Zea mays: one gene and its partner. The protein of the gene in region 1 interacts with the protein of each later gene in a pairwise test. Links are inferred from orthologs where the notes say so. Each region holds a gene or a part of one and is shown on either strand. Other genes may lie near its edges. The genes, in order: potassium channel KAT4 and syntaxin 121.

What was found.
Region 2: the proteins of potassium channel KAT4 (region 1) and syntaxin 121 interact in a two-hybrid assay, tested with the Arabidopsis thaliana proteins (2 studies listed by BioGRID, with this or other methods). The link is inferred for Zea mays from reciprocal best matches to the Arabidopsis thaliana genes KAT3 and SYP121.

Annotation. Positions count from the first base shown.
Region 1 is NC_050103.1:159,225,792-159,230,167, forward strand, and holds potassium channel KAT4, read right to left. Parts: upstream 3,098-4,376; 5' UTR 2,986-3,097; coding exon 2,825-2,985; intron 2,712-2,824; coding exon 2,496-2,711; intron 2,403-2,495; coding exon 2,247-2,402; intron 2,165-2,246; coding exon 2,107-2,164; intron 2,000-2,106; coding exon 1,682-1,999; intron 1,581-1,681; coding exon 1,242-1,580; intron 1,152-1,241; coding exon 1,116-1,151; intron 1,026-1,115; coding exon 762-1,025; intron 678-761; coding exon 303-677; 3' UTR 68-302; downstream 1-67. UniProt on the Arabidopsis thaliana protein: Probable modulatory (alpha) subunit of inward-rectifying potassium channels. Could mediate potassium uptake from the soil solution by plant roots in association with AKT1.
Region 2 is NC_050096.1:292,574,279-292,577,711, reverse strand, and holds syntaxin 121, read right to left. Parts: upstream 2,037-3,433; 5' UTR 1,718-2,036; coding exon 797-1,717; 3' UTR 664-796; downstream 1-663. UniProt on the Arabidopsis thaliana protein: Vesicle trafficking protein that functions in the secretory pathway. Together with SYP61, regulates the post-Golgi trafficking of the aquaporin PIP2-7 to the plasma membrane, thus modulating cell membrane water permeability.

The DNA of each region.
Region 1 (4,376 bases):
ATTTATAATTGTACATATTGTAAATAAATATTGCTCAAAATGAGTGAGTTGCTGGACACCATCTAAGTGAATGTAGTTTTGAAATATTGTAATTTTAAGATGTCATAGTTTACAATTGTACATGACACACGTACATATTGCTCAAAATGAGTGGGTTTGCAGCAGGATGCATAGATTTCCCCCCTTCTTTTCACCCTTTCTCAACTATATTTTCCTCCTTTCTCTTTCGTAAAACATCAAGAATAGGAAGAGGTGAAACGCTTTGCGCGTGCTTGTACTACTTGAACTGATCAGTCCTACTGCTAGCAACACAACACCAGGTGGTCTCCATCCCTTAGCACGGCAACGTCGTCGACCTCGGCGCCCTCGACGGTGAGCACCCTCCTCGGCGCCTTCCCAAACTTCACCTCGGCTACTTTCATCAGCTCTTGCAGCGAATCCGGAAGGAGGACAAGCTTCCCCGCGGCATGGCCCAGGTTCTTCTCCGCGCCATCGCTGGGAAAGCGATCATGAATGACCACTCGTAGTCCGCCTTGTCGACGCGGCAACATGCAGGGAGCGGTCTCTTCGTGTTGTTCGGTGCCGAAGGTGGCTTTCTGATTCTGCCTTGGAATCATCCTGGCAGCGTCGCCGTCGTTAAGTAGCTGTTGAAAGATGGAGCCGATCTGAAGCTCATCCTGGACAAACAAGACACGTTGTCACACACCAAGTTTCAGACTTCACATTGCAAGTTTCGATTTTTTTAGCCCCACGGTACTTACCATGCTTGTTTTGGAAAATGTCTCCTCGAAAAACGGCGCATCCTCTGCAACCTGCAGTTCCTTGAGAGATTTGAGCTGCTTAACAAAATTGGCGCATACGGTGTTGGCATCTGCGGTGTTGGAACGGAGTATCCCCAGGAGATGGCTGTGGCTGATGCACAAGGCCTGCGTGAGCCTCCTGCTACGGACGGAGAACGGCTGCGGGACGCCCAGAATGACGCCCATTTCCCCTGCCATGCCATGCGGCCCTATCTTCATCACAAGCTGAAAGAGGGCAGCAAACACAGCTGATCAAAAAAGAATCAAGAACGCCACTGCAATTTGACGTTATTGTGTGGTGTTTGAATGGCTTGCCTTCTCTGTTCCATCGTCAGCTGTTGTCAACACGTCCTGAAGCAACAAGCAAGCAGCAGGATCGGCATGAAGAGTGTTGGAGCAAGGATATATAAGGTTGTAGAGAGAAGACAGTGCAGTGCTTACCGCTGAGCCGGAGACGATGATGTAGCAGGCCGTGGAGGTCACCTTCTGGAGGATGATGTCCGCCTGGGGTGGGAAATACTCTGCCCTCATCTCTGAAACCAGCCGCACGACGAGGTCGTCGGAGACTCCCTGAAACAGGTAGCAGCGCTGGACCGCGTCCCTGAAGAGGTGGTGCGCGACCCGGGACCGGAGCGCCGTGGGCAGGTCGGACAGCAGCTGCTGCTGGATCACCTCCGCTGTGCTGAACCTGAGCTGCGCGCTCGCCATCATCTGCTCCCTCAGCTCCGGCGGCAGCCGGTTGACGCTCCCGAACATCGAGACCCGCCGCACCATGTCCCTCTGCGGTCCGCCAGATCGATACAATTAAGGAAGGAAGAAGCATATGCATCAGAAGCTAGCCCACCGCCGGCCGCCTTATGATCGATCGACGATCGACATACCATCTTGAATGTGTTGGTTGCGGCGTGGACGACGAGGTTGGTGGTGTTGCCGATGATGTAGGAGGTGAGGCCGATGTTGAAGAGCATGTAGCAGGTGGCGAACACCATCTCGCCGGGGTTCACGGCGTGCAGGTCGCCGTACCCGACGGTGGCGAGCGTGGTGATGGACCAGTACACGGCGTAGGTGTAGTTGACCCAGACGCTGCCGTCCGCGAAGTCGCGCACCTGGCTGCCGAGCCAGGTGTGCTCCCTGTCGCCGTGGTGGAACGCCATCCACAGGAAGATGCACGCCGAGGAGTGCAGCGCCAGCAACGTCACCTGCATGGAAACAAGAGCGCCGGCCAGAGACATTAAACTCTGTGTAAACGAAACACGATGGCACGATGCCAATAATGCCATGATATATTAGTAGCCGCAGTACTCACGCCGCATAGCTTGATGAGCCTGGTGTAGAAATAGTCGAATCGTATGTCCTTCTCCAACCTGCAGGAACATGAAGGAGTATAACTGCACGCATATGCATGGAGATCGAGCGAGGCATGCATGGCGTGGCGCGCGTACGTACCTCGCAAAGAGCTTGCTGACGCGCTGCAGTCTCCACAGGCGGAGAAGGTTGAGGTACCTGAACCACCCAGTGCTCCTGCCGCTCACCAGCTGGTAGATCACGTTGAACGGGATCGTCGAGGCCACGTCCATCGCGAACGACGGCCGCTTGAGGTACCTGATGACGCGATCTTTATATTTTGTGTACAGATTGTCGGGCGGCGGCGTGCGTAAGATTATTGACGATATGGCCGATCAGCTAACTAGTTACCTGGTGGCGATCTTCCTGCGGTCGTCGACGAAGAGATTGGCGGATCTGTCGAAGTAGGCGACGAAGAAGGAGACGGCGATGTCGGCGGCGAAGAACGCGTCCATGACCAGGCTCGCGACGACAACCGGCGTGGTGGCCGCCCTGTCGAGGGCCAGCTCGAACGGCGACGACCACGCCGAGTAGAGCACCGGACCGATCAGGAAACTCTGCCACCACCTGATACAGATACAGATATTCCCACCCCGGCGGCAGGCGTCAGCGCACCCTGTAATTATATATGCGTGCGTGCGTGCGCAGCAGCGCAACCGGCCAAGCGTCGTCGGCCGCACCTGTAGCGGCAGTCGTAAGGGTTGATGGTGTTGCTGTTACCGCCGGTAGGGGAGAGCTCGCCGAACGCCGGGAGGAGGTCGCCGGAAACGCCGCCGCCGCGGCGGCCGATGCTCGGCAGCGCCCAGCTCCCCGCCTGATCTGCCCCTGGCGTCCTTGCCATGCCGCCTGCGGCCTAGCTGCCGCTGGTTGGAAGCAAAAGCTAGCTGCCCTCGCCGTGACCTGAACGGTGGGGTGTTTATATAGTACCAGTAGCTATCTATCTATCTAGTTCTATCGGGCGCGATGGACGATGGACGCTGCATGAAGATAAAAGCAATGCAACGGTGCCGCATTTCGATCTGCCTGTCCGACTCCGACCCTCCAAATAATTCAGCTATTTTAAGACGCGCGGCGATAATATTTGTTTGTGACAATGATTGGATTAGCCCTAGCGCTAGTAGCGGTTTATCCAGATAACTTGTCTTGTCCTAGGCTTGACCAGCGCCTTCTAATGCATCTATATATATATTGTTGCAGATGAAGATCGAGATCCATCCAAGAATCTACAGCGCTCTTCCGCTAGCTCCTCGAGAAGACACCGAAACTAGCTAGCTCTAATCTGCATTAGTCACGCGTACGCTAATATACATACTATACATACCTGTGCAGCCTGCAGGGGCGGCGCTACACGTACGTACGGGACGACGCTGCCAATCGATGCGGGAAGCGGGAGCTGGACGACGAAGGAGACGGCGGCGTCACGTACGGCGAGATTGAGCGAGTGCCTAGAGCCCAAGTTAATACACGTTATTAACAGGAGAACCCCGATCGTTTATTTGGAAGCAGCCGACCAAGTCAGATTCCTTCCCGTTTCTTTGCAGGACAGGGTAATATTACGCGCGGCGCTTGCATCGGGATGCAGTTCGATTCACTCCGGATTCCAAATATTCACTTCCCCGGGAGTTAATACCTGATATCCTTCATCTTTGATTCGACTCTTTGTTTCCCTTTTTGTTTTGTCAGAGAAAGCAGATATTTATTACCTTGGAATCGCTCCAATCGTAACTAGCCAGACTTGACTTGTTATCCACTCCCTATATATATATATATATATATATATATATATATATATATATATATATATATATATATATATATATATATATATATATATATAGTCCTAAAATATGCTATCTAAGTAATTATAGAATATACTCCTATTTAGCATATGAATCAAAGGATGTATATAACCCTTCCTAATTACCATATTCAGGCGATGGTAGTGAATCTTGCCTTTTTTAGTGTTTTTACCCTATAGTTTGCTACAAATGTTGAATTCTGGAGCTTTTATATTTTAGTACAGAGAGAGTAACTCTAGTTGAACCGATTACATCCTAGCTCAATAATGATGATATATTCGATGTCATGTCATCATTAGTAGCCTTCCAGTTCTTTGTTCTATAAGACACCACAACTTGGAGTAGACAAGTATTTGATGCTTGACCGAACCACCCTAAAATCAATGTGTCTTTTGTCCTTGTTTCTTTGTGATTAATCTTCCCCTATACAAGT
Region 2 (3,433 bases), on another chromosome or scaffold:
AATAAGTTGTTTCGTTTCAAAGGTCCTTAGAATTTAGCCCACGGAACCGGAGGCCGGAACCAATGGGCTCCTGAGACCTCTGAATCGTCATATACTCTAAATTTTAAATTTTAGAGAAGAATCTCCTCATTATATCTCGAGCAGTGTTATCTAAACCGTTTTCTCATATCTCTCTAAATATAGAGAACGCTGCTCGATCCTCTATATAGAGAATTTCTCTCTGTTCTACTCTATCTATTTTAATATTTAAAACAACAGATTTAGCAAAACTAAAATATATATACATTTTAGAGTACTATAAATATGTATGTGTAAAAAATAAAAGTAAAGTATGTTTTGATATTTTTAAAGAAAACTATAAATAATGGATATAGAGGATAGATTTAGAGTAAGTGGCTCGGCACTCTGAGAATAGCAAAAGATTGTTGACCCGGTATATGCGAGGCGCTGGCGCACCAGCCGGCCCTGGCGACTGGCCCGGTATATGCCCGAGCCCGACTAGGAGGAAGACCGGGAGTGCGTCAGGTCACAGGCGTGCGTGCTGCGTACGAGTAAAGTCAATAACCACCGCAAAAGCAGGTTTTGACCCGCAAGTTCCGACCTAAGCTCGCTCATCTTTCCCCAAGGCACATCGACAGCAAAAGAAAATGAATCATGTGTTATAAACAAAACCATGTAATCGAAGGTTGAGGCAATAGAAGAAAATATAATCAAGACGACCGTATCAACGAACCGTATGTATGATACAAAGGCCACGAAAAAAAAAAACTAGAACGAATTACGCAGGCCAGGCGGCCTAGTTCTTATTGACGCCCTTGAGCACGATGGGGAGGACGATGACGAGGATGATGACGAGGAGGATGAGGATGGCGATGCAGGTCCACTTGCGGGTGCTCTTCTGGTGCTTCCGCGCCACCTGCAGCTGCTCGCGTCCGCGGTCGACGAAGGACCTGGCGCGGCCGACGTTGCCCTCGATGTCGTCCAGCTGCTCCCCCTGCGCGGCCACCAGCACGGCCATGTCGTTGAACACCTGCTGCAGCTCCAGCAGGCTGCGCTCCAGCCCCGCCACGGCGCCGTGCCGCTCCTGGATCTCCGCCACCACGCCCAGCACCTCCCCGCGCCCCTGGCCCTGCTCCGCGATGGCGCGCTGCAGGAACCGCTCCCCTTCCCCGGACTCCGCCAGCGCGTCCAGGGTCGCCTCGTCGGGCTGCGCCCCCGTGACCGTGAAGTACCGCCGCGCCACCGTGTCCCGGTACTCGGCCGCGACGCGGGACCGCAGCGACGAGAAGGACTCCATCGAGTCCCGGAGCTTCTTGCGCAGCCCGGCCACGACGGACGTCCGGGTGCGGTCGGTGGAGGAGCCCGGCCCGCACCCGGGCACGGACCGGTTGGCGGCGTTGGCGCGGTCCAGCGACTCGAGGCGCAGCTTCACCACCTTGGCCTTCTTGATCGCCGCGGCCACGTCCGCGTCCATCCGCGCGCGGAGGCCGCGCACGGCCGCCGCGTCGTGCATCGACTTTCCCCCCTCGTTGGCGTCGTGGAGCGACCGCTGGATGCGCTCCAGGTCGCGGAGCTCGTCCTTGATGGACTCCACGTCCTCGAAGAACCTGTCCAGGCTCGCGCCCGCCGCGGCGCCCGGCGGCGCAGACATCTCCACGCCGCCGGACTCGATGTCCCCGCCGTCGCGCTTCCATGAGCTCGAGAACAGGCTGTTCATGGTGGATGGATTGTTCTGTCTCTGGCTGATTGGCTTCCTCACGGGCCAAGGTCGCTTCTAAGGGTTCGCTCCGGCCCGGTGGCCGGTTTCTTGGATCGGGGGGATGAAATGAAATGAAATAGTGGGAGGGGTAGTTGGACAAGGGGGGCGTGGAGATTCAATCAATCATGCGAGATGGAACAAGACGACGGACGCGGAGTTGAAGGAGTCGGCCGTGCCGAGGCATCCATGTGATGTGACGCCGTGGCGGGCGAGGAGACCGTGTGATGAGGAGGCGGCGCGCGCCACCTTGCTCTGAAATGGCAACGCGGGAGGAAGGTGGGACGAAGGAGAGGGCAGAGGGGGGCACGGACACGTACGAGCGAGGGTTCTTGGGGACGCGATGGGTGGTGGGATTCGGCGCGCGGGTCCAGGTCTTTCGCCGGGTCGCCTCGCTGGAAATCCAACGAGCCGTAACTACCAACCACCCGGCACTATCCGATCCATGCTGACCGGCTGATCTGACCCGATCAACCCAACTGCACAGCTACAGATCCACTTGTCTGTCTCGTAACACCGAGACAAGAGAGAAAAGGGCGATACGGTACCCTGTAGCATAGTGTCGTACTGTCGCTTGAGTATCTCTTAGAAGTTAGAAGTACAAGTACTACACCACATGCTGACATGCTGCGTCAGCGTCACACAAGGATCAAGGAGTTCTCGGCGAAGGTACTGGCCAAATGGCCGGGCCGGCGCATGCACTGGATCGAGCAGAAGGCGCCGTGCTCGTCAGCCCGTCGTGCATCTGGCTAGTATCAAAAGAACCCACATGGTATGTTATTCAGAGTCATCACACAGAGTATCATAGCAGTCACATAGTGGTTATGATATCCGAAAACAACTGCACCCTACAGAAGTGCAAATGTGTTCGTATCAGAGGCAAAAGGGGCGACATGATACACTAGCTCTTCGAAGTCACCACAGCAATTCCGTATTGATTATGATCTCCCAAAAACAACGTCATCACACAAAATATCATAGCAATTCCGTAGTGATTACGATCTCCAAAAGACGACATCACGATCAGAAAGAAAAGAAAATATCAAAAATAACAGCACCCCTCAGACACTTGCACCTGATGTGGACAGCTGGACGTCGATACGAGGAACTGAAAAGGGGAATCAACATATACCCATATGGCATAAAGGCTCAAGGCCAGACGATGATTTTTAAAAGGATTGTACAAACAATGAAAAAATACTGTCGCCCATACAACAACAATCTCGAGACGATTGCCTGATTACCTCGTCAAAATTACAGAAAATTTATCGGATCCATCTACCACTACATACTACATTTGCGAAATCGTCTAGCAGCGACAAGTTAAACAGGATGTACAGGAATAGTATATGCTCCTACTAGCCACCATCAACAATTAGACAAGCAAAACTTCTATCGGTATATTCTGTCTGCCAAAAATCCACCAGCAATTACCGTTAGTTTTTGTTCCCAGCGACAATTGTATACATGTACTCACCAGAACTCATCCTTCAAAATGACGTGTAAATATATCGGTACCGAAGCAGAACCATGAGCGTATCCAAGTATATTCAGTCAGGGAACTTCCGGGGCAGATCTTTGCACAAACTGGACTGGCTGGCACCTATTATCATCAGCCCGTTGCAATTGGGTGTAGTTCCTGAGTTTTGCACTGGTCTATATTGACGCTCAAGAAGG